Linked DNA regions of Danio rerio. The protein of the gene in region 5 purifies or fractionates together with the protein of the main gene of each other region. This does not show direct contact. Links are inferred from orthologs where the notes say so. Each region holds a gene or a part of one and is shown on either strand. Other genes may lie near its edges.

What was found.
Region 1: the proteins of vim (region 5) and xpnpep3 purify together in Homo sapiens (affinity purification with mass spectrometry; 3 studies listed by BioGRID and IntAct, with this or other methods). This does not show direct contact. The link is inferred for Danio rerio from reciprocal best matches to the Homo sapiens genes VIM and XPNPEP3.
Region 2: the proteins of vim (region 5) and sqstm1 purify together in Homo sapiens (affinity purification with western blotting; 3 studies listed by BioGRID and IntAct, with this or other methods). This does not show direct contact. The link is inferred for Danio rerio from reciprocal best matches to the Homo sapiens genes VIM and SQSTM1.
Region 3: the proteins of vim (region 5) and sync purify together in Homo sapiens (affinity purification with mass spectrometry; 3 studies listed by BioGRID and IntAct, counting the BioPlex papers as one, with this or other methods). This does not show direct contact. The link is inferred for Danio rerio from reciprocal best matches to the Homo sapiens genes VIM and SYNC.
Region 4: the proteins of vim (region 5) and gan purify together in Homo sapiens (affinity purification with mass spectrometry; 3 studies listed by BioGRID and IntAct, counting the BioPlex papers as one, with this or other methods). This does not show direct contact. The link is inferred for Danio rerio from reciprocal best matches to the Homo sapiens genes VIM and GAN.

Annotation. Positions count from the first base shown.
Region 1 is NC_133178.1:23,820,207-23,824,267, reverse strand, and holds part of xpnpep3 (xaa-Pro aminopeptidase 3), read left to right. Parts: intron 1-1,167; coding exon 1,168-1,352; intron 1,353-2,972; coding exon 2,973-3,035; intron 3,036-4,061. UniProt on the Homo sapiens protein: Catalyzes the removal of a penultimate prolyl residue from the N-termini of peptides, such as Leu-Pro-Ala. Also shows low activity towards peptides with Ala or Ser at the P1 position.
Region 2 is NC_133189.1:19,140,033-19,144,714, forward strand, and holds the start of sqstm1 (sequestosome-1), read left to right. Parts: upstream 1-1,615; 5' UTR 1,616-1,745; coding exon 1,746-1,914; intron 1,915-2,189; exon of another isoform or gene 2,190-2,432; coding exon 2,433-2,528; exon of another isoform or gene 2,529-4,631; coding exon 4,632-4,682. UniProt on the Homo sapiens protein: Molecular adapter required for selective macroautophagy (aggrephagy) by acting as a bridge between polyubiquitinated proteins and autophagosomes.
Region 3 is NC_133194.1:33,456,926-33,461,527, forward strand, and holds the start of sync (syncoilin), read left to right. Parts: upstream 1-1,368; 5' UTR 1,369-1,657; intron 1,658-4,178; exon of another isoform or gene 4,179-4,196; 5' UTR 4,197-4,216; coding exon 4,217-4,602.
Region 4 is NC_133193.1:14,688,578-14,693,285, forward strand, and holds the start of gan (gigaxonin), read right to left. Parts: upstream 3,155-4,708; 5' UTR 3,012-3,154; intron 2,964-3,011; exon of another isoform or gene 2,896-2,963; 5' UTR 2,895-2,895; coding exon 2,704-2,894; exon of another isoform or gene 2,595-2,703; intron 390-2,594; coding exon 275-389; intron 1-274. UniProt on the Homo sapiens protein: Probable cytoskeletal component that directly or indirectly plays an important role in neurofilament architecture.
Region 5 is NC_133199.1:36,348,387-36,353,153, forward strand, and holds the start of vim (vimentin), read left to right. Parts: upstream 1-1,541; 5' UTR 1,542-1,608; coding exon 1,609-2,144; intron 2,145-3,681; coding exon 3,682-3,742; intron 3,743-4,767. UniProt on the Homo sapiens protein: Vimentins are class-III intermediate filaments found in various non-epithelial cells, especially mesenchymal cells. Vimentin is attached to the nucleus, endoplasmic reticulum, and mitochondria, either laterally or terminally.

The DNA.
Region 1 (4,061 bases), on a different chromosome or scaffold from region 5:
GTAAAAATTATTTTAAATGTCTTGGTAAAAACAACAACTTCTTTCCCCATATAACACAATATATTACATTTTAGAAAACATTTATACTATTTTGGGACAATAAACATGTCAGACTACATAATTAAAATAAACTATTGACTTCTGCTGTCTTCATTAGTTTCAAAAACACAGATTTCCTTACAACACAAAAAGAAAAAACTTCACATATACCTTAGAAATGGTGTAACAAGCAGTTTTAATACCTTGACTTTTTCAAACTGCAGTAAACCTTGAAACCGGTTATCGTTCTATGCCTAATTGAGAAAGACGTTTGCGACAACGGAGGTGCGTAATGTTTGATCGTCACATGATTCATGAACTTCAAATCGTTCCAGGAAGTGTTTTGCGGTTTATTCAAATAATATTAAATGATGTTAAATCTTACACATTATCAAACTTATTTTTGCAAAACGTCGTGCTTTTCAAAGGTGCATCACCTGTTTGTAAGTGCTAATTTCTGGGAATTATTGAGAGTCTCTCCACAAGCTCTCGCAATTTTCTCTTTGGCTCTGGTTTCAGCCTCCTTTTTTCCTTTTTTATTGCATAACAAGAACAATAGCATACAAAAATATGATAAATACAATGCTTACATTTTCACATCAAAGGAACAAATCAGTAAAGAATAATAAAAAAAATAAATAAAATTACAGGGGATATATAAATTACAAAAAAATTGAAAAAGAGAAAATGATTCCAAAATTGCGTACATCCTTATAGCTTTTTCATTTTTAATGTCTTTTAGGGTTTCAATATAATGCTTAAGATCAATTTTAAACAAATAAATATTAGGTTTGTCGTTGGACCATTTTTGTTTTTGCACATGGTACTTCCCATATATAATCATTAAATTAATAAACAAATTTTGCTCAAATTTTATTGTTATTAATATTGTACATCAAAAAAAAAAATCTTTACAAGAAAACTGTATATGTGCATTCAAAAAACAGGTGTTTAATCGATTCTTCCTCTAATTCACAAAAAGTGCATAAAGATTCCATGTCATTAAAAAAGATTTTAACAACTTGTTTCACTTGACAAATTAAATGAATTAGTTTATGTCACTTCCTAAACTTTATTGGTGAGACAGTATTTACTAGGTAAATTCCATTCCTTTTTCCCTTTTCTTAGGAGGAACTGTATGGTATGACAACTCTCAGCCTTGTCATCCACGGTTACATCAAACTCATGTGCGCCCCCTGTTGGAAGGAGGACAGCTGGTGAAGTCTCTCCGACCCCTCACTCATTCCCTCAGAGCCATTAAGAGCCCAGCAGAGGTTGCACTGATGAAAGAGGCAGGACGGATCACTGCTCAGGTAGTGAATCCATAATAGTACTGTACGTCTTGGAAAAAATACTTTAAAGGGGTCATAGTGCATAATTTAGCCATTTGAGATTGAAAAGGATTTGCAAAATGACAATTTTCTTCAGTGGGAATTATTCTGTACATTAGTAACCACTAGGGTTGTCAAAAGTGTTGACTTCGGTATTAATCGCTACTGATGTTTTAAAGATTTCCATTTTCCTTGAACATTTGAGCACATTTTTAAACTGCTAACTGCCCATTGTGTTCATGTGGTCACCAGATATGACTGTTTGGCTCTGAAGATCATTGCTTCACCGTTGTTCACTAATGGCCCATTTCCACTGAGTGGTACAGTTTGATACGGGTCGGTACGAATCACTTTTATCAGGCTTGCGGTTCCACTGCCAAAAGGGTACCAATTTTGGTGGGCGTAGTGTATGCCAGAAAGTTTCAGTCGACGTCATTCTCACTTAAGCTAAATGTCAAACTAAAGCTTTACGGGTCGTTTACATATCATATGAGAAGCACTTCTCACAAGATGCTTTATACACAAAAAATACTTGTGTATAAATGTTTATTACTAACCTAATGAACGTAATTTGATTAGAACTGCGGATCAATTACAGTGCGAAATAGCCTACTGCAACGTCTGCAATTATATAAAATAAATAAATAAATTTAACATTTATGAACACACAGACCCTTACAGTCTCAGATATGTTACCAATTACAGAAAAACTACACAACGCATACATTTAGTTTTTATTTGGGTTCAAAAACAACACACAACATATAGCCCACAGTCAGTGCAAACCTCTCATCTGTATATTCAATCTTTACCAGCACATGTAACCTCTGTTAAAAAATAATTCCGTCATTCCCGAGTTCATAATAGTCTAAAAGGTGATGATAATAGTTAAACATGGCAGTTATTTGCTCCTTTGTTTTTCTGGATTCTCCTTTGTTTTTTCGCGAGTCACTCTCGCGTTTGTCCGTTTCTGAAAGGATCGGATGTCAGAAGCACTTTATTAATAACACACACACGCTATTATCATCAGCTCAAGAAGTTCATTATGTTTAAATATAGACGCATAAAAAGTGGTGTGGTACGGTTCGCTTTTAGGTTCATTTTGACTGTGGAAATGGCCATAAAAGCGTACCATACCATAACACTCAGTAGAAATGGGCCATAAGCGCAAACAAATAATAGTTGAAACCTAGAGCTTTTGAAAACAGTGTCTATCTTGATCTGTCTATGATCGTTCAGCTGATATATTTTTGAAAATTTTAGTATCAATTGGTATGATTGTAATCAATATTTCTGCCAACCCTAGTAGTGAAAAGTTTCTGAAGGGTGAGGCTTTTTTGAATTGTGTTAGTAGCATGTTGTTGGCTGTTTGAGACATATAATATACTGATACGCTCAGTTTCTTCAAGAAATGTTTACATTCACTGACATAAACAGCATTATGAAAACTTTTTGTGTGCTTTTTACATTAGCTGTAATACTTGCGTGACCTTGCTAACTGATGTGATTGCACTTAAAAGTCTGTGAGCTGAGTAAACCTAAGATCAGATTGGTTTAGAGAGACTAGTTCAAGGTTAAAAATTTAGTTGTGTTTATCCTCAGGCATTTAAAAAGACAATGGCTATGTCAAGAGGAAACATTGATGAGGCTGTTCTCTATGCAAAGGTGAGTAAAGGGACTAAATACAGTCTTTAAATTCATGGTTATGCAGTAGAGATTGTAATATTTTTAAAAAATAATTAATGCTTTAATGGTCTTAAGAAGTTTATTTTTATTTTTGTACTAAGTTTCTTATGTCTATCAAACTTCACCTGTATAAAATATATTTAAAATTTTTATAATAACCGTCAATTATTAATTTTTCTCTAAGTTGATACATTTTAAATTGTATTTATTCCTGCTGTTTTGTTGCTTCTTCTCAGTCACTTTTTAACTAGCATAATGTTATAGCAGTCTTTCTTATGTTTTGATCGTTCCACATATCTGGCATAATACTGTACAGTTTGGCATGAACACTAACATTTTCAGAAGTGTACTTTCAAATATTTAACACAATGTGGCATAACAAATAAAACATCCAGTCAAATATAAATCCAGAGTTTGTTGCTAGGACCAAAGTTCCTTAAAACACAATCATTTATTAAACAATACAACAGGAGAAAAGAAAAACTAAAGTTTCAGCTATGAGCCTTCATCAGTGTAATGATTCATTATTGTTTGATGCTTATATACTCAGTCATCATGTCAGGAGTTCACAATCAGTTGACCAGCAGATTCATTTTAGTCTCATTAGGATCACTGCACAGAATTAGAATGGAAAAAGTTATATATCAGGAAGAAAGAAGGAAAAAAAAAGAGAAAAAATTATAAATTGAGCATGGACCATCTTTGCTGCTTGTCTTATAACAATGAAAAAAAAATTGTTAATCTTACTTCTGAACAATTCTTTTTGTAATGTAGCTGTATATGGTTGTAAGAACCAAAATTTCTGGTTTGGATATTTCAGAAAAAAAAAACAATCTGTTGGGATTTTCACGCACCGTCATGCCAGAAAATGATTATTACAGAGTGGTCACATTGCTTTTTGGTGTCAGAGGACAAAAAACAGATTCAAACGAATAGAAAGGCAACGGAAACTCAAATCACCACTCGTGAGATCCAAAGTCTGCAAAAGAGTATTTCTGAATTCTC
Region 2 (4,682 bases), on a different chromosome or scaffold from region 5:
TCATACAAATCCTAATTAATTAAATAATAATGATGATGATGATGATGATGATAATAATAATAATAATAATAATAATCTTTCTTTTTGGAAGGTTTCATGAACCCGTGTTCTGTATCTTGTTATGCATAATGTAGTAAGAGCTTCTTTATGCTGTCTCACTGTTGGAGACTGCATGTTGTAGCCTTGTTTTAGAAAGGAGCTATATAAAAGAAACTTCTTCATCTTCTTAATGTTATTGATAATGATAATAATAATAATTATTATTATTATTGTTGTTGTTGTTATATCAATAAATGTGGATAAATCAAAGTTAATGTATGTGTAGATAAATAAAAATAAGGATATTAATATTTGTATATAATAATAATTATTACTACTAGTACTAGGCATATAATCATTATTACTCTAATATTGCTGCTGTTGCTGTTTTAATATAATATACATATCAATGAACAATAATGCATTTACAATTTAATTAATATTTGTTATAACATTGTTACTAAACTACTAATACTAGATTGTCATCATGTACATTAAACATTTGTAATCTCTATATACAGACATACACACATACATATGTGTGTGTGTGTGTGTGTGTGTGTGTGTGTGTGTGTATGTATGTATGTATGTATATATATATATATATATATATATATATACATATATATATATATATATATATATATATGTGTGTGTGTGTGTGTGTGTATATGTATATATATATATATATATATATATATATATATATATATATATATATATATATATATATATATATATATATATATATATAATGAGGTTGTGGTGAGTAAAATGGTTATATATGGTAAGAAAAATCTGAAAAAAAAACGGATGCATTAAGCATTGGCAAATTGTTGTTTCCTTATTATAAACAACGTAAGTTTGGTAGTGTAATGTTTCCTAGAGGTTTAAGCTTAAAATTTGATCAGTATACATTTGACAAACATTTCCTAAGGAAATGGCGACTGCTACTTCATTCATGATGACGCAGCACTTTGTTTAGCACCTGTAGCAGAAACACAACACCTCTTACCAACCACATCAAACTTGCAGGGCTTAGTAGAGCTTGTATTATGAGAAACTGGATTTCAAACAAAGCAACCAAGTTTATCTTGTACTAAAACAAAAATATTACCACACATTTGTATATGTAGGCATTTAAAAAAATGGATGTGGGTAATGTTTAACAGTGAGACTGTTACAGTATAGCAGAAGAACTTTTGTTTGATATTCACTTCTTAAAACAACTAAAATTAAGCCAAATAAATCTACAATTTGTATAAAGTATTACATGACATCCAGAACATGTATGTTTATAGCCCTTGAATATAACACTGCGTTTTTTGGCATTAATCCACTCCTATGATTTCAGCGGGAATTTCCCCTATCATATTGCCATGTCATTCCTCGGATCACCGAAAATCGTCCATTCTGTTTTCAAATGTGACTCACATGATCACAGACAACATGAACTCCGTCCTGCAATGACGCTGGACGTGGACATCTTTCTGCGAAGACACGCCCCCAAACTTGCGCTCCTCTCAACGATTGGCCGGCTCCTCGGCTGCATTAGCATTTGACGTACAAGGCTTATATACAGCACTGTCGGCTGAAGTAGGAAACGCATTTTCACGCAGCCAACGCAGAGTCCCGTGCTCGAGAAACGCATTTTCTACTGCGCAACACTTCCAGAGGTTCAGGGAGAGAAGCTATTTTCCGCTACGATGTCGATGACAGTGAAAGCTTACCTTATCGGTAAGGAGGACTGCAACAAGGAGATCCGTCGCTTCGCCGTGGATCAAGATGTCTCAACAAGTTTCGAGTATTTGCAGCGAAAAGTGCTCGATGTTTTTGTCGGTCTCAGGACTGCGCCCTTCCAAATGTACTATAAAGGTGAGTCAAATTTGAATTCTGAAATGTTTTTTTTTAATAACACTGATTTATTGCACAAGCAAGTGTGTGTTTGTGTCGTCTTTCAATGTTTTACTTGAAATGGCGGTTTATATTTATCTACGTTACTTGAAGTTTTAATAAAATTTCACGAAGCGATATTAGAAATAAAAAACTTGAGGAAAACGCACATAAATGTACATATTGAGAAACATAGTTTGCAGATTTTTATGTCTTTCTATGTTCAGTATTACTGAGCCATTAAAATGGATACTGCATTGTGAAACATCTTTGTTTATTGTTACATCCAAGTACAAAGTTTGATGGGGAACGTTTGTACTAGGCCGTAATAAACAAGCCATGAGCATAATATTTGAAATCCACTGTGCTTACTGAAAAGAAAACAGCAAAAACTTTTGTTATTGTTGTGTGTGGTAATCAACTTTTAATCAGACAAAACATGATGACAATCATAATAACCAGCAGAAATGCCATTCTGTTTTCCTGAACTTTGTCTCTAGATGAAGATGGTGATATGATTGCCTTTTCCTCTGACGATGAGCTAATGATGGGTTTGGCTCTTGTGAAGGATGACACTTTCCGTCTCTTCATCAAGCGTAAGTAACATACACAAACTATAACTACCATTTTAGGAAGGGGTTTCGATTATTTAAGAATATTATGTTATACCTGTAAATATAATTTCCTGCACATATTAAATGATCATTAGACTTAAAGGGATGGTTTAATCAACAATGAAAATGTACTCGCCCACTGAAGTAGTTATAGAATTTCTACATTTTGAAAAAAAAAAAATATATAAGTGCTGTCTGGAATTTCTCAGCCTCTTTTATGTTGAGAATAGTTTCTATAAAAGTGAAATTGCTGAACATACACACAGGAGCCTAATAAAAAATGCTAATTTTAGAGGAAGCTGAAAACCAGTAACCATTGATTTCCATAGTAGGAAAAACCATTTTTTTCTTTAGCTGAAGGGGGAAAAAAGTCAAGGAAGGGTGAATTTTTTTTGGGATGAACCATGTCTTGAATTTGCTTTTGGAATGTATCTGTTGCAACTTTTTATTACTCGCCGCAAACAAACTTTAGTTTGAGTTTAGCATGTTAGATGGTAATTTTAATATCTATGTTTGTTAAAAATAAATATCAAAAAACAAAACGACTGTGTTAAAGGTAGCAGTTAGGCTAGCAATACCTCATAAGGGTCAAAGACGTGGTTTTCATTTCTTTTTCCAGATCTATGAAGTCACTAAAATACTTTAGAAGTTCGCATAGACCGTGGCTTCAGTGTGTGTTTGTCAGGGCTGCATGATGTTAGGGGGAAAATAATCGAATCTAAAATAATCCTGTATAGTATTTATTCTATAAATAAAATACTGTTAACCTTTAATATTTTATTCAACCTAAATTCTGTAAATATGCCTATATTGTTTACAGAGTAACAGGCCTTAAAATCCCATGCAAATTATAAACTTTCACTCGTGATTGTCACGGTTTACAATTAATTCACACATTGTATTTGTTTTGTGATGCCTTTGCTACCGCCTTACTTTAAATCCTGCAGTTTGACTATCGTGAATGTACACACAGTGAAGTGTCAATAATGTGTGGGTGGTGCAACTCTTTGGGACTTTAAGTGTAAATGTAAGCCTAAATAGAATCTACAAATCCATTTTGTTGTCACAAGGAAACCATAAACGGGAATATCAGAGCGAACCTAACAAACAATCATATTTGGCTGCATCCAAAATCACATACTCTCTGTAGGTGGTGCTTTTAATAACTAGCTTCAGGCGTGTTCTATATAGTATGAATGCAATCTGCACCGACTGCATTCACATTATATTTGTGAAGTGACGTAAAGTTACAAAAGACATCTACCAGTTGTGTTGCTCCGCTGCCATTCTCAAAACATTTCCATGATCTCATGGGAAGGTAAATTTTTCCATCTGATGCATTCTTTGGAATATTACTAGATACAGCGAATTCTGGCATGCTACTTTTTGAATGCATCCAAGTTAGTAGGCTTTGAAAACATTGTTGTTGCGTTATGAAGACTAGATTAACTCAGAGCAGTTGGAGTAATTGTATTTGTAATATCAAAGTGTATTCTTCATCCTTAACTTCCATGTGTAAGCGTTCTCTTATTCTCAAGCTGCTGAGACAAACTTACTTAGGAATAGAGAGAAGTCATGAGCTAAGAGCAAAAGGCGTAGTCAACCTTGTTGCTCTGGATGACGTCAGCATCTTTAATAACTATGCAAACAGTGATTGGTTGATGGGGAGTCTATCAGAGATTGATTCAATAAAACTTTGTAGAGAACAATATTTCGTTGCCCTATTCAAATAGGGGGGGGGGGGGTAAATATTTTTGAAAACCTTTTTCTTTCCATAAGGGAATACTAGTGAGGATCTTTTGTGAAGATTTTGATTGGTTCTTGGATTCACTCTTGTTATTTGAGTACTAGAATACTATAAAACTAAAACACCTGCCACTTACATGTGCACAGTTTATAAGGTTGGAAAGATTACATGATTGGAAAGAGCGTCTAATGATGACATTAGATTTAAAGAGTGTGAATACTTTTTCATCTTGGATTCATCATTACGTACTTTGACCATACAAGCCTTTGAATATCTCAGATCTTTTGCAAATAGACATCTTCAATTAATAGCAATTATGTTATTTCCTTCTTTTTCAGAACGAAAAGAGCACAAACGTGATTCTTCTCCTCATGGAATTCCTGGGTTTC
Region 3 (4,602 bases), on a different chromosome or scaffold from region 5:
CAGCAATATTTGTTAAGTGTCCTCTGCTTCTGCTGTATGTGGGTGGAGTAATACACACGGGTGAAGGGTGAAGAGGTGGTACGAGTGCTGTTACTGACAGAATATCGCACAGCTATCAGCCAATCAGATTCAAGAACCAGACAGAACTGTTGTTTAAATTATTATAAAATATATATTATTGTACAATAATTTATATACTAAATAAACTTTGGAAGGAATATTTAAAACAATAATCTTTTATTTAAAAAGCACAGCGCAGCCCCCAAATACTCTAATTTTAAATCTTCAAACATTTATACGTTTTATACATTATTATACATGTTTTGCCTATATGTTAGCAAGATGTTTTTAATTATCTAAAATATGTATTGTTTTAGAACAATCACTTTTTTATATGTATATCTTTCATATGCAAGTACATGTATGTTTTTTAATTCATACACAAACATATCTATTACAGACTTATACGATGGAATGATGTGATCAATTTTATTTTCACAAAGCTTTTTTGAAACAAATTTGAAAATTTTATTTGATTTAGATGCAAAAACTTTTGATCAACGTACGTTGTTTTTTTACTTTACATTTCACATTTGTCATAATATATCTTCGATTAAATATTTAAAGTTATCACATCACCAGTTAACATGTTTGTTGAAACTAGCTGCCTCCCTAACTTAACTAATCTGTAATACATAAATTTAGATCAGACATCTATTTAAAGCAGCTGAGATAATGAGCAGGCATTGGCAGGGAAATTCGGTGCGGTGGACTCTACTAAACAAACACAAGCTACTTATATCTCACTGTCTAAAATGACTTTCTTGGAGCTTTAAATTTCCACTTAATTTTAATTCTGCTTGAGATCCAGGCTTTCAGGTCATTTCTGAATGTAGGTCAGTGCCGTTTAGGAAACCACAAAAAGCAACTTTTCCCCATTGGTTATCGTAGCATGCCAGTCTTGTGCGACTGACCTGCTTGAATTATTACATTTACATTACATTTACATTTAGTCATTTAGCAGACGCTTTTATCCAAAGCGACTTACAAATGAGGACAAGGAAGCAATTTACACAACTAAGAGCAACAATGAATAAGTACTAAAGGCAAGTTTCAGGTCTGTAAAGTCTAAGAAGGGAAGTGTTAGTAGTAGTTTTTTTTATTTTTTTTATTTTTTTTATTTTTTTTTATTTTTTTTTATTTTATTTTATTTTTTTATTTTATTTTTTTTTATTTTTTTTTATATTTATTTTTTTATTTTTTTTATTATTATTTTTTTATTTTTTATTATGCTGTCTCATGCAAACCCTACACTCGCCACCCATTGGACACTGACCTTGATAATTTGTTATAATATGTTTGTTATCTGCTGTCCTATTGGCTCCAGTGTTTAGGTTGCCTCCCAGAGGACCTCATGATTGCTGATTAGCTGGAGTTGGTGCCCGCGCTGTACAAGCTCATATTTCTTCCTCCTTGTGTTTATTAATAAATATAAACAGATTAAACGTTGCCTGGGCGATCTGTGGCATATGTTTAAACTCGGTCAGAGAGGGGCCAGACTACCTCCGTCCTATTTTGAGCTTCAGTTTGGTTACCAGCTCTTCAGTTTGGGTTCATTCCATGGTTATTGTCCTGGAACCTTGTTTTCTGGGTTGAGGTGAGTTGATAAATTTTTATAACAGCTATTTCTCAAAGGTTTTTGATTTCTGAATGTTTACATTGGCAGATTATCGCAGCTCTAGCTATCACTTCCTACTCATTGCAGTGTCTCTGTAGGTTTTCTTTCACACTTTGTTTCTATTCTTGCTGATGGTTTCAAAGTTGGAAAAGCTGGAGGAAACATTTTAATTGAAGTTAATAATCACTTTAAAACAACATATATGATACTAATATGTCTGCATGAGTAAACATGTTGAAGGAATGAGCAGTTGTCCATGTATGATGGAGGTTTTGAGTTCATTAGCACGGCTGGAATGTGCTCTGTCTGTTCCTGCTGCCAGTTTCAGCAGCAGCTGCTCTCTGTGCCCTATCAAGACTAGTGCAAGAAATACCAGCTCAGATCAGAAGATAAAAAATTTGTATAAATAGTTTGTTTTTCAGAAACGTATACAAAACTAATTACACAAAACTAATTACAACCTAAAATCAGAAAAAGTTGGGACAGTATGGAAATGCAAATAAAGGAAAAGTGATTTCTAAATTTACTATGATTTCTATTTCATTGCAGACAATACAACAAACAAAATTTACTGTGTTCCTCATGATTTTTATTGATTTTTTATTTAAATTTTTTTGTGAATAAACATTTATTTTAATTTTGGTTCTTGCAACACATTTTTAAAAAAAAGTTGGAACAGTAAAGCATTTACCACTTTGTAATGTTGCCATTCCTTTTCACAACACTTAAAAGACGTTTAGGGACTGAAGGTGTAATTTTGTCCCATTTTTTCTGCAAACAAGTCTTAAGGTGTGCAACAGTATGGGGACCTGTGCTTCAAAATGTGTCACACATTCTCTATCAGAAACAGGTCGGGACTGCAGGCAGGCTAGTCAAGTACCTGTAACCTCTTCCTCCGCTGCCAGAACTTTATAATGTGTGCAGAATGTGGTGTTACATGGTCTTGTTAAAATATGCATGGGCGTCTCTGGAAAACAAGGCTGCATACAGTGCTCCAAAATCTATATGTACTTTTCCGCATTAATGGTGGCATCACAGAAATTTCATCGCAAAGGTCACTGACACAACCCAATACCAAGAAAAACCCTGGCTTTTGATGGCTGGTAACAATCTGAATTATCATTTTCTTCTTTGATTTAGAGCACATGGCATCTATTTCTCTAAAAAAACTGAAATACTGATTTATCTGACCCCAGTACACGTTTACATTGTGTAATGGTGACTACTAGCCCTACATTGCTCCTGTCGCAATATTTTGTGGAATGTGTTGCATGTCTGAATGACAGGAAAGGATCTATATTTACAAATGAAATTAAGCAGATAAAACATGAAATATTTTGTGTTTATATTGTCTGCAATGAAATACAAGTCAAAGTAAATTTGGAAATCACAAATTTTTTTTTAATTTGCGTTTTCCACACTGTCCCAACCTTTTCTGATTTTGGGTTGTACAAAGAAACAACATAAAATAAAATTATGCACTAAAATAACATTTGGTAACACTTTATTTTGATGGTCCATTTGAATATTAGTAGACTGTCTGCTTAATATTAGTTGATGCTGCTCCTTCAACAGACATTTAACTGACTATAAGAAACTTTGCAAGTACATGTCAACTTACACTAAGTCTAACCCTAACCCCAACCAAACAGTCTACTTATAATCTAAAGAGAATTAGTTGGCATGTAGAAGCTATGTAACTTAAATTCAACAAACTGACCATCAAAAAAAACTGTCCTAACATACTCGAATAGTCCTTTTTGTGTTACTTCTGTAAGGTTCTTATGGCTTTTCCAAAGTTAAATTTAAGCACTTTCCATTTTTCAGAATTTTCAAGCATGGCAGATTACATACATACATATAGATATTTATTAAAATTTCAGAAGGCACAGATAAAAAAAGACAAACAATTCACTCTGCAAGCACTTGCACATACTCAAGAGTTTTCATTTTATGCTAAAGCAAAGATATTTATTTTATTTAAATAGTTAATTATTGTTACCTATAAAGTAAGATAAATTACAACGAAAGAAACACAATTGCATTTCCAAGCAGTTTCATGCACTTTATCAAAAATCTATCCACTTTTCAAAACTTGAAAAACTTATATATTTAAGTTGGAAAACTTAAAACTATAATTCAAGCATTTTCAAGGATTTCCTGCACCCATGAGAATCCTGAAAATTTACATCTCTCGCCCACTTCATGATGTTAATCACAGCTTTTTTGTTCAAATGCTATTCATACTGTTAAGTGTGTTCATGATCAGTCAGCTGTTTGACAAGTTTATGCAGCTGTCCCTCAATGACGCATTAGCTTCAGATTTCCTATCACCATCTTTTGCATTACTCAGAAATAACACAAGGCACACTGTACATGCTCTTAGTCTAAAATGAACTCAATCACCAACCCCAAGAATGCGTTATAAATAGACCTAATCACTAACAACAAGAATGTTGTTAACGCAGATCAATGCTTTGCACTTTGTTACATTAAACAGGTTTCACGTATTGTTCAGCTTGTAGGGCAACACGTAATATGGAGGATCAAGAAATGAACTGTGAGAAAGGAAATGGGGCTCTATCAGAGACGGAGAGAAAGTTTGAACCATTGTTTATTGAAGAAGAAGATGAGGACTATTTTGAAGACTGCATGGAAGAGATCGAGGCTGCTTTAACTCTTCCTGGAGAGTCCCTGCCTTTTTCACAAAAATGCAGAGAAGCTTTGCAAGCTAAGTTTAATGGACTTATGCAACAGATGTTGATGCAGTTGGATGATTTTGAGGCAGCCCATCCAACCATATCTACACCACTGAAATTACTTTCAGAAACAGACAACAAAATGGACAAGAATGGATTTGCAAATGCATTTCAGTTTGTCGAGATGAGCATTCCAGAGAAAGAGCCATCTGTGTTGGTGGTTGA
Region 4 (4,708 bases), on a different chromosome or scaffold from region 5:
TATATGATTAAATTGCCTCTTGTTATGGTTATGTAATAGCTTAACAACGAGCAAAAAATGTTTATGGGCCAGTCACGTTGCCACATTGAAACAGTCTTTAGTACAATGATCTCTTATATGTCAGAATTGATTCCTCAGTTCATCACCCCTTCTCGTTTAAAAAAATAATAATTTTCATGATATTAACAAGCTAAAAAACAATCATTTTAAATCTTCAGAGTTTCAATGGCTAAAGGAAAGAAGCATACAATGTATAGATAGTAAAATAAATTACCTCCCCACTGAAAATATAGTCTAATATCTGCCTCATGGTGGTCACTGCAATCCCCTGCAACTCGATTTTGTATACAGATCCATCCTCCTTTGGTGGGTTGTAATTTAATTTGGTCCTGGAAACACAGTAACACAAAGTAACATGAGTTTGCATTCACTGTGGATCTAATACAATGGCTTACTATAAATCTTGGAGATCTGATAAATAAAAGGCTCTACACTACATTTGTAAAGGTTTTTTTTTTTATTATTTGAGAGGAAAAACCTGTTTTCCGGTCAGGTTTTTCATGTTAACCCTTTGGGGTCTGAGTGGATTGTGGGGCACTGGATAAGTTTTGACATTTGTGATTTTTCAGCTTCTTGTAAATGTATTAATTGCTGAATGCAACATTATGTAAGCAGCAAAAAAAAAGAATATTAAATTGGGCTAGTAATTTTTTTGGACTCTTATCTTAATTTATTTGTTAGATTAGCTTCAGATTTGGCCTAATCTAATGTACATCCACAAGTATATTGTATATCATCCTTTAGAACATATTAATTTAAAAGAGAGATGTGTATACGTTTTATTTTTTTGGTTAAACTTATTTAAAAACAAAAAGTGATATACGAGGTCAGAAAAAAAAGTCACTGAAATAATGCCAAAACAGGTGTAAATATTTTTATTTAAAACTTTTGTCTAAAATGAGGAAGGGTAGTTTCTACAAAATTATATGTAACGCATCCTGCCCACTCACTCATATTAATAAATCTATCTAACTATTTTTTCAGTAACATATTGTGGACTGTTTTTATTTTCTTATATTCTTTTGTGCACAACAGTGACAAAAACTACTTTTGTAACAGAATTAATAACTCTCTAGTGAATTGCAACCAATAAGGAAAAAGGGACATTGATACAGTGTACCAATTCCCACAGCGTCCTTTTATTGCTCTCATCCATGCAAGACAATTTGGATTATGATAATTATAGATATGACTTACTACATAATTACAACTTTTAAAAACAAATGTCAACAGCAACAATTTTGAAAAAGACGGGAGAGTAGAAGTAACTTCATTTTGTTTAGTAGTGGTAACTCAGAAGTTTTGAAATTTTTTCACAGAAATATTTTTATATGATTTTATAAGATTAAGTTTTTCTATTTATATGTTCTGCTTTCATTTTAATTGTAGTCCAGGTTTTAGCAATTTTCTTATATCTAATAAAATTTATAGTCTTTTTTCTTTTTGTTTACATACACTAAAAATTAAATGATCAATAAGTCATGATAATGAATGTTTTCATGTTAATTATAACTTAATAAAACACATTAATCACAATTCTAACTTAATCTTTTAGATCAATATAAAAGCCATTTTAAGCCAGTTTAATTTTAGGTCAAATCCCTTATAAGGTTAATATAATTTAACTTAGAAATTTAAGACAACGCTGTTTTAATGGTGTAACTATTTGCCTAGCTTAACATTTTAGTACTTAAATGAACTTGAGAATGACAAATGCCTTGAATTTATAATAATTGTGCCTTGAATATATAACATTGCATAACATTTAAATAAATGATACAATTTCATCTTATTTAATAATAAAATCACTTTTCTTAATGATTCAGTTTAAAATTAAACAGCAGAACATTAAGAACTTGTGAAAATAGAGTAATATAAAATTTTTGTAATTATTTATGTGAGTTTTGTGGCCTTTTTGAGGCCTTTCAGTAACCATTCATTGTCAATGCACAAAATAATATATTTACTTAGCTAATTATTTTAGTTACTTAGCTATTTATTATGAGTATGATATATATATAATAGCTTTTTAAGAAATAAATGATACTATTTTAACTTTTAAAGCAAGTAATGAAATAGCTTTTCTTAAGGATTTAGTTTAAAAATTTAATATTAAAATATTAAGAACTTATATAAGCCTTTGATTTATAATAATTGTGCCTTGAATATATAATATAGGTTTTAAAAAATATACTATTTTTTTCTTATTAGGTAATAACATCTTTTTTCATATTTTCTTGTGGATTTAGTTTAAAATTAAATAGCAGGGCATTAAGAACTTGTGAAAATTGCATAATATGAACCATTTTTGTAACACTTTTATGTGAATTTTGTGCCCTTTTTGAGTCCTTTCAGTATTCATCCATGATCAGTCATTAAAACAGTTTCTTTTGTGTTCTGTATGCCTTTTACAGTATGTGCTGCTGGTTAACATGAGGGCGTGTAAATTACTTTACTCTTCTGTCTTTTTTGAGAAAACTATTAATTTAAGTGACCCAAGCAACAGGCAAGGTGGAGCTGTTTGGCACACCCATATGACACATTGCTCAAGGGTCTGCAACATGTCTGAGCAAACATAGCAGCAGCTACTCATCTGATCTCACCTCATGCAAATCTATTCAAGTTTCAGGCATTTTCCCATACCTGATGTACGGACTAGCAGCAGCCAGAATGTTTTTCTGCACAGGAATCTGTTCACCTTCCAAAACCAGCACTGCATCTTGAAAACAGTCGTCCTGTCTGAAAGACTGAAGGACCCTGAGAAGCTTCTGGGAGTGCTGAGGGTCCGAAACCACTGATCCAGCATCAGCGCCAGCTCTTTTAGGGTCTGACATGCTGTAACAACACGTACAGTACAGACAGATGTGCTGTTAACACAACACAACAACAGCAACATGCTCCAGGTTTGTGTTGAATAAACAAAATGACAGGTTTAAATCATATAAACTCACTCAAATGTGCGTCAATTAAAGTTGTTCTGGGTATTTGCTAACTTCAGCCGCTCATAGCCATCTGTGTGTGTGTTTCAGGACAGCGAAAACTGCAGAAAAACAATTCTCGGCTGCTTCATGTCATGGCACTGCACGACGTCACCAGGAAGAGCATTTAACTTAGGTTTTTCAAAATAAGAGCCCCCTTTTTTGAAAACAGCACTCAGGTGTCTAATTTCTATATGGCGCAGGTGTCAAACTCCTGGAGGGCCACTGCTCTGCACAGTTTAACTTTAACCCCAATTAAAATACACTTGATCAAACTAATTGGGTCCTTCAGGCTTATTTGAAACAAAGAGCATAGCGCAAGTTATTTGTTTGGAACCTAAGTGTGTTGAAGCATAGTTGGAACGAAACTTTGCAGGACTGCAGTCGCCCTACAGTATATATATATATATATATATATATATATATATATATATATATATATATATATATATATATATATATATATATATATATATATATATATATAGTATGTGTTTTTTCAACACATTTGTAAACATAATAGTTTTAATAACTCATTTCTAATAAATGTTTTATTTTATCTTTGCCATGATGACAGTAAGTATAATATTTAACTAGATATTTTATTAAGACACTTCTATACAGCTTAAAGTGACATTTAAAGGCTTAACTAGATTAATTAGGTTAACTAGGCAGGTTAGAGTAAGTAGGCAAGTTATTGTATAATGATGTTTTTTTTCTGTGGACTATCGAAAAAAATAGCTTAAAGTAGACCGAAATAAGGTCTTTATATATATATAGCTGTTTTAAAGACTAATTATACTGTGTATAATTAAATTATTGCAATAGTTTTGTAAAGTTTGTAGCTTAAGCTATTTACATGCTATTTTATAGCTATTTATACTAATATGTAGACTCCCTGGCTAACATTCAAATTACTTCACGAGGACAAAAAGTTTTTAGAGATTTATACATTCACACACACTTTTTATTACATTTATGCAGCATAAGTCATACACGTTGATTAATTTAAGTTTTCATATCAGTGTCAAGATTCATGTCTTTGAAACAGCCACTCTTTGCTCAGGTGTAATGGATTTAAATGAACAATTTACAGGACAGTAAATCCCTCTGTTGCTTAGTCATTAAAAGTGTCATCAATCACTGCTTCCTGTCAGGACATTATATGGGAGAAGAGGTTGGTGTACGCTGGACAAATCTGCCCTTTATGCATGAAAAGAAAGAGTATTAAGCTTCTGATTTATGACGACTGGTGACCTCGAATATGTGAATGAGTGAGAAGAAGAAGAAGATTGAATTAATCTTTCATTAAGAGAGAGCTATATTGTGATTTAACACCCGTTTGTGGCGCTGATCGGCTGTGCCAGTTATCATAAAGAGGCCAGAGCTGTTCTCTTTAATTCTGGTGATTCATACGTATTTCAGTGGAATATAAAGAGGAGATTTTAATTAGAGTCTGTAGGATATACCCTTTACCAAGTATAAAACCTTTTATAGCGTATTAAATTGGCCTGGACTTTCCGTGACTTGGCATGTCCTCTAGTGTTAATGAAAAATACCCTCCGAGCACTAGATGGCGCTCACGGAACATACATTCAAAATTACTTGTTAGATTATGGTTATAAATGTCTCCAAAAACTGTAGACAAATAATACACATTAAAAAAAGAC
Region 5 (4,767 bases):
AACCCATCACTGGGAAACACCCATACACACTCATTCACACTCGTACACTAAGGTCAATTTAGCTTACCCAATTCATATGTACTGCATGTCTTTGAACTTGCACTTGTGGGGCAAACTGGAGCATGCAAAACCCATGCGAACACGGAGAGAACATGCAAACTCCACATAGAAATGCCAACTGGCCCATTCACAGCTCAAACCAGCAACCTTCTTGCTGTCAGGCAATCATGCTACCCACTGCGTAGCACCATGACACCCATCAGTGAATGCTTAGGTATTAAATAGTACTAACATTAAATAAACAAATAAATACATAATTTGACTTGAATAAAATCTTCTTTCAGAAGTTACCTAAATTATTCAATTATTATTCACAAATCTGCTTAATACCTCAATCTATTTACCCCAAAGTTAATTAAAAAATAACTCAACAATATTAATAAGCATAATTAGATGCTGTTTACTGTGGTGCACTGAGGTTTATGACAAATATTAAATCCCTCACTCATCCCACAAATCCCACAATCATTTTGTGTTGTTCTCTCAGGTAGGATGGTCTGCTTTGTCCACCCATCGGTTCAAGCATTGGTATATCTTTGTCTATTAATCTATCCTGGGTTTACTCCCCTCATATCTGCAAACGTACATTTGTGAAAGAAAAAAACTGTCTCTATAGCCTTTAGTCTCAGGAATTTAATTTATTGTACCAGTGGTGATATAAGGGGAAAAAAGGCTTTTAAATAGCAACCCTTGCATGAAATAACCTGCAATCAAAGTTGCAGTTGAAAGAGTTGGTTTCTCTACATACCTTGAAAAAGATTTTGAAACACTGGTCTGTAGATGTTCTGACTGATCTGTAATTTTTTTGCTTGTTTTGATGAATGATGTTATCTGTTTTTTTTTTTTTTTGTTAAGCCGAACTGCTTAATTTTGGCCAGGAGGCTCTTGTAAAAGAGACTTTTAATCTCAATGTGCTTTTTCCTGGTAGAATAGAGGCTATGTTAATATATGATGATGATGATCAATAAGGCCTAAATAATTAATTCATTTTTATTTTTTAAATAATGCTAAACATAAATTGGCTAAACAGACTCAGTAAAAATAACTTTTGCTGCTTGTTTAAACTACTTATTTATAATGAGTTGAAACAAGACAGTTCTTAAGTTTTTTGGGGGGACAACTTGATTGGTTTATGTTCAATTCACTTAAATTTGTACAAAAAAATTATATATATATATATATATATATATATATATATATATATATATATATATATATATATATATATATATATATAACATGTAGGATTTGTGTGGAACCCTGCATTTTGCATATATTTTTTATAAAGAATTGAACAAATCTTCTAACAAAAAATAAACAAATCTTCCAGCTTTTTCCCCATGAAACTCTCTCACTGCAGGTTCTGGAGGGTCTCCTCACCCCTCCGCCCCGGCGGCGTGCCTGCGTCACAGAGCCTCCCGCACCGTTATGTCATTAGCATAGGGAGTGGACTATAAAAACCAGCCGAACCTCCGCAGTATCCCCGTTTGGTCTGGACAGGGTGCGATATTTAGACTTCAACAATAACCCGCAAACTAAAGGATTACCATGGCCAGTCGAACAAGCACATCTTCCTATAAAAGGATGTTCGGCGGGGAGCGTCCCGCGGCGGCGCGGTCCACTTTCTCCAGCCGGCAGTACAGCAGCCCAGTGCGCGTCTCCTCCTCGCGCACGTCCTACAACTACAGCAGCGCGCCTCCATCCGTGTACGCGAGTAAAAGCTTGAGAGTGCGCTCCGGCGCGCCCCTTCCCAGACTCGCCACCGACACTCTGGATTTCGGGCTTGCCGAGGCCATAAACACCGAGTTTAAAGCCAACCGGACCAATGAGAAAGCGGAGATGCAGCACCTCAACGACCGGTTCGCCAGTTACATAGACAAAGTGCGCTTTCTGGAGCAGCAGAACAAGATCCTGATCGCGGAGCTGGAGCAGCTGCGGGGCAAAGGAGCGTCCCGGGTCGGAGATCTGTACGAGGATGAGATGCGGGAGCTGCGGAGACAGGTGGATCAGCTGACCGGGGAAAAGAGCAAAGTGGAGGTGGACCGGGACAACCTAGGGGAGGACATCGAGCGCCTCAAGGAGAGGTCTGTTCTGGCACTATTACTGTCTAAAAACTTAGTGTCAAGTGTTAAATAACTTGCAGGCGCACATAATATGTTTTACGTTTTGTTTTTGTTATTTTATGCTAACTTAATGTGCATTTAAAAGGTTAACAGATGAATGTTTGTCTGTTTTTTTGTAACTTTCACTATGTTTTTATACTTAAACAGCCTATAGGTTAGTCATAACTAAATTAAACTTTACTGATAAATATAAATATTATTATTATTATTATAAATATTTATTATTGTGCTTATTGTTCATTGATCCTTTCTGGATCTCAAAAATTTTAGTGAAAAGTTCTTCAAAAACTATTTTAAAACAATTTCATAGCATTTTGAGAATCTTTTTCCACTGTAAAGAAGCTTTTGGGAAATTAAAAGGTTCCATTGAGGTTAAAAGTTCTTTCTTTCGATAAAAGCATTTTTAGGCAAATACAGTGCTCAACATATATAAGTACACCCCTCACAGATCTGTCTTTTAAATTTATATATTTAATAGTAAGCGATACAATATTATATTTGTGCATATAGGGTACATTTAATCAGTACTGAAGCCAAATCTGGAGCTTATCTAACAAAATAACTTATGATAATTAATGAAAAACTAGTACAGCCAAATTTATGTTATAGAAAAATATTAAATACAAATTTAAAAAAGAGGAAAAATCCAGAAAAGCAAAAAAGGGGAAAATTTTGTTGAAATTTTGTAGGTCGTACTTAGTTTTTGCAATATTTTGCTTTAATTTAATTGTTTTATCCATCAATTTTTAACTATGTTTGGTGACTAAAATAATATTTTAATAAATATATCTGTTTAGTAAATCTGTTTTGTTTAAATGCACCAAAATACATCGCCTATACATTCGTAATGCTTAAATTGACATTTGTTAGTATAATCTAACAATGCATTATAAAATGCTTTGTAAAACGTATGACTCGTTTAGAAATACTTCATTTTAAATGTATAGGCAATCTTTTATGTTTGCTATAAAATAAAAAAGTGTTAAGCATAGGCTAGCAATTGTGCAATAGTGTAATCATTATGACAGTATTTCATTAAAATAAAAAATATATATAATAAATATATAATTTAATTTATATAATATATAAAAATGACTTGTTTAATACAGAGATTTAACAATTCTTAAGACATTTCATTAAAATATGATCAGATATACAGTTCATAATGATAAAATCAAATATTTTAAAACAGGAACCATTTTACATAGCATAAATGCTAATATTAAATCATGTTAATGGCTTGAATTTAAAAAAAGCTGACATTTTTAAACAGTGTTCAGTGTCAAATAATAGCATGTTGAATTTCTATTGGCGCAAATCTCTGTTATAAACTTTTTTTTAACATTATCAAGGAAAAAAAACAACATAATTTCTTCATGTTTTGATACAGTAAATTAAAATAAACTGATTACTGATTTCTATCCACTGTGTGATGCTCCACGAGGCTGTTTTTATAGTAAAGGGTGTGGCTCTGCTTAAATATGCATCTCATTTCCAGACTTCAAGAAGAGATGCTTCAAAGAGAAGATGCTGAGAACAGCCTCCGCAGCTTCAGACAGGTACATCCGCTCACATTCACAGTAAAGAAATCACCACAAACAACTATTTGCGCATGCATGGTTGTCATTCTTGAACCTGACGTTTGATCGAGTGCAAACAAAGCCACTATTACGCTGCGATCAGTTAACAGTCGGTCCAGTCAGTGTGTGCAAGACAAGTCTTATTGTGAGCAGTCTGTGCACAATCAAAGGGTCAGCGCAGGCCTGGTCAAGCTGCCCTCTCGGCCAGCATCAGATTTAGACACACACCGCTGAAAACAAAGCTTTGTCTGAGAGCCGGCTGGCTGTTCATGACAAAGCAAACTGTTGTGCGGATGGGAGGAGACGGCGTTAACTAGGGGACATTGGTGACTTATGGAGGACGCAGAGAAGAGGATGTGTGTGTGTCTGTGTATATGCATGTGTTTTAAAGAGTATCTGCCACCCACAGCTGCAGCTGAACAAATTACTGGCAGCGGGCGAGCTATTGTTATTCATTGGTTAAGTTGAATTTACATACAGTCGAAGATGACATTGTTAGCCCTCCAATTCTTTCGCAAAACTTACTTCCAATACTTATCAGAGCAAAGACAATTTCACAGTATTACTATTTCCTATTATATGTTATATTATATGTTATATAATATGTTATATAATATTATATTTATTTTAGTTTCTTCTAGTGACATTTTTACTGTGTATTATAAAAGCATGTGGAGTTTATTTTGGGGTGAATCTTATTAAATAAATTTAAATTCAACTTAACCATAGCGAATTGTGAGCCAAAAAGAAAATGAATAAACGAATGAATGAGTTGAAGTCAGAATTATATTTAAAAGGAAGCTGTACAATATTATATTTGTGCATATATATTAGTTTAGTCAGTACTAAAGCCAAATCTGGAGCTTATCTAACAAAATAATTGATGTTAACGGTCCAAAAACTAGTACATCTAAATTCATATGTTAGAGAAAAATATTAAATACACATAAAAAAAAAATAGGAAAAAAATCAGAAGCAAAAAAAGGGGTACTTTGTTGAAATTT